Drosophila melanogaster: one gene and its partner. The gene in region 1 interacts genetically with each later gene. Each region holds a gene or a part of one and is shown on either strand. Other genes may lie near its edges.

Region 1 (3,031 bases):
CTAACATTCGCATTTGCTGCATAGTGTGTATTCCTTAAGTTGTGTCGTATTAGCCAGTATGCCGCATTTTGCCTGTAATTTCATCTAGTTTGTGTTTGCCTGTTTAGCTCCTATTTAATCGAGCCGTCTAATAGAATCACTCTTCCACTTACCCACAGGAGACATTAGTTGAAGAACTGCAGCAGAGCATGGCGACCAGACGCGGTTTTAGAGACTCGACCTACACCAAGGAGGATGTCGTTGATTTATAAGTGTTCTAGTTATATGCTCAACATTCCCTCACGTCGATCCCTAGTCCTTCACCCAACCTGCCACAGTTTCACGTGATAGATAGTAGGGTTGATGATAACGTTAAGTGATGATACTGATGATAAGGAGGAAATGAGATGAAATGGTGAAGACAGAAGGATAGAGGGAAACAAGGTTGCAACTTATCGTACTGAACCATTAATTTATGTGCAATGCCGCGTGTGTGTTGTTTTCATTTGGCAATTTAGAATGAACGTGATTTATTTATTGATACAAACCCTGATACTTTTATCCAAATTAACCTTTGCATATTTTTAAAAATGTTTTGTGTACTATATTTTATATTTTTATGTATTTAAATCAGTTAAGTGCCAATTATATACAGAATTAATCTACAAATATTTTTAGCGTGTGCTCTACATCAATTTCAATGAAACTAACGAAAATAACGCAATGAATATGATACACTATACATATTATGTAATTCGATTGAGTGTATAAGAACTATTTTAATGGGCTAAACCTAAAAAAATCTAAATGAAATATAATATTTTTTATAACTGCTTCCAAATACAAACTTTATGGTTTATTATTTCCCCTTTTCTGTTTACCTCCCCTATACACATACTTATAGTATTTATAGTATTTAAGCGACAATCCGTTTTCAAATTTTGAGGCGCGTTATGCCGCCAGAAACAAATGCATTTATTTAGAAACAAGGCGGAGACCGACGATCTTATTGATTATTTTCTAAATAGTTAACAATTTAAGAAACTAGGCGAAAACGAAACCGATATAAAATTACTAAGCCATTTAACAACAGAAAACCGAAATCTATAGAAAACTAATTACCCTTATCGCAAAACGATCAACTTCAATTTTGATGATCTAGTAGTTTGCACCAACGACACAGAATATATTCAGAGCAGCGTTTAAACTTTAAACCAGTCCACCACCGACCACACACTTCGAGTTTTGAGTGTATCCCGTTCTCATTCAAAACCCCGAAACGAAATAAGAGAAACTTAACGTGTTCATTAAAGTTAAGCAATTAAAACATCATTGTAATCTATTGAAATTCAAATTAAACGGAAACGATATTGGACAGTAGTGTTATTTATTTATTTTTGAATTTCGAAAGATCAGGGGCCCTATTGGCAGCATTGGAGTAATCCCAGTATTATTACGATATTTAGAATGGTAGAAGCCCAGCAGACCGATAAAATACCAAAACATTGTTACCACTAGATCTATCGATAGCGATGCCGGCATTGCTTGCTATCGGAAAACTGTTCATCACCAACTCGCGTCGGCAGCGAATTGTTTTTCTGCATTTCGGAAAATAAGCTTCAAAAGAGTATAAAAAGACCGAGTAAAGACCAAACGTAAGCATACTATAACTGCCAAGATGGTGAAACTAACGCCGGAGCTGATAAACCAGTCGATGCAATACATAAACCCATGCCGGGAGCGCGAGCTGGATTTGCGCGGCTATAAGATTCCACAAATCGAGAACCTGGGCGCAACTCTGGACCAGTTTGATACCATCGACTTGTCCGACAACGATCTGCGCAAGCTGGACAACCTGCCGCATCTGCCGCGCCTCAAGTGCCTGCTGCTGAACAACAACCGCATCCTGCGCATCAGCGAAGGGCTGGAGGAGGCGGTGCCCAACCTGGGCTCCATCATTCTCACCGGCAACAACCTGCAGGAGCTGAGCGACTTAGAGCCCCTGGTCGGATTCACCAAGCTGGAAACCATCTGCCTGCTTATCAACCCGGTATCCACGAAGCCCAACTACCGCGAGTACATGGCCTACAAGTTCCCGCAGCTGCGGCTACTCGACTTCAGGAAGATCAAGCAGAAGGACCGCCAGGCGGCGCAGGAGTTCTTCCGCACCAAGCAGGGCAAGGACGTGCTAAAGGAGATTAGCCGGAAGTCCAAGATGAGCGCCGCAGCCGCCATAGCTGCAGAGGCGGGGAATGGCAAGGGAAGGGGATCGGAAGGCGGACGACTGGCCAATCCGCAGGACATGCAGCGCATCCGCGAGGCCATCAAGCGGGCCAGCTCTCTGGCAGAGGTGGAGCGTCTATCGCAGATCCTGCAAAGCGGCCAGCTGCCGGATAAGTTTCAGCACGAGATGGAGGCGGTGGCACAGAACGGGGCGGGGCACAACGGTTCGGGGGCCGTGGCCATGGAATACTAGGACTAGAATTATCCGCTCATCTGTCAGCTACCTTATAACCGTAGACCAATATTTTTTAATAAAACACCAAAAGTTGATTCATCGCATTCTGCATTTCGGACACTCAAAAACATATAGAATCTTCTGTTTTCAACTAAGACCGCTGGCCGAAGGATCTTTCACGGAAAGATTCGGGACAATCGGTCACAACAGAAATGCATTTACATGACCGTAATTGGCTAAAAGTTTAACAATCTACAGCGAGTACAAAGGGGACACAAAACGAGAGGAGCTGCTGGCTTATGTGGAGAGTGGAGTGGTGTGGTGTGGACCTGGCTCCTGGAATCCGGTATTGCTGGGGAGTGTTATTAAGATCCTTTCGCCGCCATTATGGCGTCGTAGTGCAGGCCAGTGTAGAAGATGATCCACGTGACCAGGAATCCGGCAAACGACGTCATGAACCCCTCCTTGATCAGCTCCCATACCCCTCCGTAGGCGTCCTCGTCCACGTTCTGAAAGTTTATGGCGTACAGGTAGACGATCCCGCAGCTGATGCCGGCGAATCTGGGGGCGCATTGGATTGATTAAGTGAAGTGA
Region 2 (5,101 bases), on another chromosome or scaffold:
GCGAATGCCGGACTTTTGGATCTCCGATGCCGACTGCATCTCGTTGTTGATGTGGCCGCAGTGGTCGCACTTGAAGGACATGAGCACCACCTCGCGAAAAAAGGGTATCTTGGTGGGCAGCAGCCGAGTGACTCCCGTTTCGAAGCAGTTCATGCAGGCGGATTCGACCTCCACTATCTCGTCGGTCTGCTCCGCATTGATTTCCCGGAAAATGGGCTCCGGCCGAATGTTCCCCGCACTCTCCGGCGGATTGCTACTGTTGGGGTCGCTCACGGTGGACATGATTTGATTGCTATCCACACGAAAGTTCCTGTTTAAGTGTGCTTTTTTAAATGAAATGTATATGTTTGGGGCGAAACGTGCAAGTTTAATCGATAGACGCTGACGATAAGTGTCGATAGTCGTCGTGTGACCGGCTTGCATATGCTTAAAACTCCTTAAATACCCAGAAGTGTGCTCGGCGCGTTGATCTTAAACGCTCGAGAATTTACTCGTGTTCGATAGAAAATTCCCCGAAATAAAAAGGTGCACAAATAAATTTAAGAGCTTACCTGTAGCGGTACACGGTAAGGCCATAAAACAAAAACTGATTGGCCATCTGCATATTAATCTGGGAATACCACCTACCTGACACACGTTCTTCCTAAAATTACCTGCGCTTTCAGAAATAACTGGAGTCCTTTTGTAGAGCGACAATTCAAGGCAGTACAAAAAGAGCCAAGCTTAGAGTATCATTGAATTGTTGATATTCCTGTTACCATTTTAAGAGACTTTCAATTAAGATGGCCGGATCGTCGAGCATTAGTGCGCTGTTGGCCGAGCAAATGAATTTGGGCGAGAAGATTCAAAGCATTATTCGCAATTATAAAAAGGCTCCGGCTCAACGGAAATCTAAACCTGGATATTTTGAAGGGCGACTATCCAAATTGCAAAGCTTGTGGGATGCATTTTCCAAAGGGGAAAATACTATTAAAACTCGCAACGAAAAGACGCAAATGGAACATACATACTTTAAAAACAACTTCTTTGTCAAAATAAAGACTTTGGTAGTTGAATATACATCAGAATTCAATCGAAAACTGCACGCATCGGAAAATGATACTGAAAACGTGCACGCATCGGAATTGGATACTAAACACGTGCCCGCATCGCAGCAGAATTCTGAAGATCAATTCAATTCTATGCTTAGAGAGCATCGGATATTGATGGACAGATTGGATAATATTATAAACGAGTTGGAATGCGTGACAAGGAATGGGATTAATCCCATCATTTTACCCTATTTAACTGATATGCAAAATATGCATGCGGAAATGAGTCAAACTGACATTTAAATGTAATGTAACATGTAATAATAAAGCGTATTTTGTGTTATTATTTAAATATATATATATATAATTATATTATACTTATTAAAGATGTAAGCTTTGCGGAATGAAAACTTAAAATAAATATTTGGCGACCGATACGCGTTTATTCAATATAACTATCGATATCAGGGCATCGCTTTTCAAAAACTATCGATACGTGGCTGTGCTGAAATATATATCTATCATCCCTAGCTGCACTGCATACAAAAGTTCGACGGGAGCAGTAAAGTAATTATTTGTTTAATCCAATAATTATCGACTCCAATCAAATTGGCGGTCTTCTGGTTGTTTTTAATGTCCCAGAACGTGCTAAATTCGCTGAATCAGTGAATAACGGTAACTGTAGATATAACTGCCTGTGGTGTGTAGTGTTCTCTTGTGTTCCTGCGTGTAGGCGTTTGTGTGGGACGGGCAAATATAAAATCGTAACGTAACAAGCAAAAGAGAGCAGCAAAAAACAAAAAGAACCAACAAAAAAACGTGTGAAAACGAAAACTACATTTAAATATAAGGTGGTGACAGTTGCGAAAAAGCAGTTAGCAGTTTAAATTGGACAGTAAAAGCTGACAACGCCGGACAGACAGTGAAGTGTTCAGGCATTTCAAGGACCTTTTTCGCCTCCTGTCTGCTGTTCGGTTTGTGAGAGTGTGTGTGTATGCATGTGCAGGCGTGTGTGTTGAGTGCCTTTTGACCACGACCACCTGGGCGGTAGTCAAGTGGAAATTTTGCGTTCAAGGACAACGGCAGTGCCCCCCCTTGTCGATTGTCACCCCGCGACCCCGTCGAGAGTTGTCTTAGCCACCACCCGCGCCCCCCAACTAAAACTTTTAAATCGACGACAGTTCGTCCGGTCGGTCAAGAATAGTGTTTATTCCGAAATCGAAAAAGGGAATTCAGTTTTAATTTCACATGGTGTGTGTGTGTGTTTTTTTTTGTATTCTGTATGTGTGGGTGCCGTTTTTCGTATTCGTATTTCATTTTTTGCCGCGTTGAGTGAGCTTGCGCACACCAATACGAACGAAATTGAGAACTTTTCTTCGCATAACCGATTTTTCGCTCTCTCTCTCTCTCAATCGCTTATCGCTCCTCTTCTATCTCTTTCGCAGCCCAGCCAGCGCTGCACTCGAAAATAACCGTTTGCGAGTAGCAAGAGAGAGAGCGGCACACATTTAAAAGTGAAATAAATCAAAAAGTACGTGGAAATGGACAAGAAAATATCAGCTGCGGCGCAGAATTGACAAAGTCGATAGGGGGACCAACAAAATCATCCAGGTCCGATAAAGCAAAGCAAAATAAAACAGAACAGTGAAAAAAAGGGGCAAAGCAGCGGTACTAAATTCCGTTTACCACGTGTGTTCGCTTGTAGGCGCTTGTGTCTGTGTGTATGCAGCTGATTCGGCATGTGGGTGTTTGGTTGCGAGTGTTTGGAGGGGGCACAAAACTAAAGTAGATTTTAAACTACCGCTCACTTCCGCTGATTTAAACGTATTTATTTAGGCAATTGCCTTGCCCCAATTGAATTAGTTGTTCAAGGACTTTGTGCCCCAGCTTGTCCTTGTTAGGGCAGCTATTTTTTTGCGCAGCTAGCGGATAAATGGCTAGAAAGGTCATCACTATGAACGCGCCTGCGTGAACGGGTAGCAAAAGCAGGAAGCAGGAGTAAAGAAGAGCTTGATGTGTGTGTGTGTGTGTGTGTGTGTGGCGCATAGCTACACATAACGGAGAAAAACGTAACGTAAACTTAACGCAAAAGGGAACCGATACTACCACCCCCTTCCCCACTCTCTCCATTAGTGGCCTAACATAGACATTAATTGGATAACCTACGATCGGATAAACATTCAATGCACGAAATCTATGTTGCTAGTTCTTATCCTTTCCCATTAAACTCTCAAAACGGCATTATTCCATTCCATCCTGGTAGCTCTTGCCGGCTATATTAATTCAAATTCGATTTCATGGGAAAGCGTTATACAAATGCCAAGCGTTTTGAATTGGACTACGCCTAAGGTCCCGTCGCAGTCGAATTGGAAGAAGGCAACAATTCTTGTCAGATGATGACATAAAATTATAGATATAGATATAGATAGATATAGATATTTCACTAAATAACACAATTTTGGTAATCAATAAAAAGTTTTCAAACCTAATCATATTTTTATTATTTTTTTTACTTAACTGACTTAGGACTTCAAAATGAATAAGAAAATTATTACCTATTGTATATCAATAAGAATCGCATTTCCAATTCTTGCTGAGTTACGTTAATTTTGAAATTAGATTTATCTGAAAAATGGCCAATATACTTTGCTAACATCCGGAAAGTATGCAGCAGAGTGTGTGAGTGTGTGTGTGCTGTTGCAAAAGCCAGAGGCGTTTTAAAGGGGGTTGCACTGCGTATGGAAAGGGTAAAAAAGAAATGTTTCATTTGATTTAATGCCAAATTCCCTTTCTCCATATGTCAGTAAGGTTCATCTATATTTGATATATTTTGTTCTGCGTTACAGAATTTATATTTCTGTTTTAGTTTTATATTTATTAATTTGTACATTTTTGTAAATTTCTAGCCACCGATTAACGTGATTTTTGTATCCATTGTTCTTTTTTAAATACCAAAAGGAGCGGCGCTGTCGTCCAATTTGCATCGCCGTGTTCTTCGTCAGTGTTTGTTGTCGTCTCCTCGTTCGTCCTTAATTTTATTTCGTCCTTGTGCAACAAGAAGAAGCAAAAGAACAGCCACATCAAACAGGAGGAGGATCACTGCAATACACAGTTTCCAAATGCTTTAAAAATATTCGGCAATATCTAAATATCTAGAAAAGTAAGACAAGCAGCGAATCAGCAACAACAATCGAAAACACCAAACAAAAACCAAAAAACTAAGATAAGCCGAAAGCCGAAGGAGGCTCGCAAATTTGTTTACAAATTTGCAATACATTTTAAGTAAGCGGAGGAGAAGAAGGGGTGTTTGTTGCGCATCAGTGTGTGTGTGTGTGCGTGCGCGTGGATTGTATAGGTCCTTCGCTCATTTTTACCCCGACGAAACGAACTATTGTTGGCCTTTTCTTGCGGCAATAGAAGGGACCTCAATTGGAATGGCCCTCGTGGGAGAGCGGAGGGACATTAGGGAGCAGCAGAAGTAGCAGCAGCAGCAGCAGCAGCAGCAGGATTAGGATCAGGAATAGGATCAGGAATAGGATCAGCAGCAAATGCAAGCAAGCGCAAAGGACTAGAAAAGCAAGCAGCGACCAGAATTTAGGAGCCAGGAAATACGGAATTGCAATCAGGAAACAGGAACGGGAACGGGAAAAGCAGCCCAAAAACAATAAAACAAAAGGAATCCATTGAATCGACAAAAGACAAGAACTTGTTGTATCAGAGCAGCGCCAAAAGAAAGGTGAGTAGTAGTTATTCAAGAATAATATTCGGCTTTACTGGTATTCCTGATCAATCAAAGTTAACTTGTTTGTAGGACAATGACTACTTTGGAGGAGCCTGTCCAGGCGGCGGACACGGTCGATCCGTGTCCTCCGGGGATTCCCAATCTGAAAACCGTTCTCAGCGACGATGCCTCGAACTCATCGGTGCTGGAGGACATCGATGTGAGCAATACGAGCAGCAGTAGCTCCAGTTCTAGCAGCTCTAGCTCCAGCTCTGGTTCCTGCTCGGGATCGGGCACCGATACGGACACCGGCAAGGGTAGCAGCAATGTCGGCAGTCTGGATGTGACT

The links.
Region 2: of U2A (region 1) and mei-P26, changing one suppresses a phenotype caused by changing the other (phenotypic suppression), as found in Drosophila melanogaster (one study listed by BioGRID).

Annotation. Positions count from the first base shown.
Region 1 is NT_033778.4:7,674,862-7,677,892, reverse strand, and holds U2A (U2A), read left to right. Parts: upstream 1-1,530; 5' UTR 1,531-1,657; coding exon 1,658-2,455; 3' UTR 2,456-2,531; downstream 2,532-3,031. Other genes in the region: LRR (Leucine-rich repeat), read left to right, coding at 159-251; CG12107 (uncharacterized protein), read right to left, coding at 2,803-2,998. UniProt on the Drosophila melanogaster protein: Involved in pre-mRNA splicing as component of the spliceosome. Associated with sn-RNP U2, where it contributes to the binding of stem loop IV of U2 snRNA.
Region 2 is NC_004354.4:9,161,693-9,166,793, forward strand, and holds the start of mei-P26 (meiotic P26), read left to right. Parts: upstream 1-1,562; 5' UTR 1,563-1,706; intron 1,707-2,470; exon of another isoform or gene 2,471-2,642; intron 2,643-3,989; 5' UTR 3,990-4,767; intron 4,768-4,827; exon of another isoform or gene 4,828-4,842; 5' UTR 4,843-4,846; coding exon 4,847-5,101. Other genes in the region: Zpr1, read right to left, coding at 1-282; CG44532 (uncharacterized protein), read left to right, coding at 783-1,334.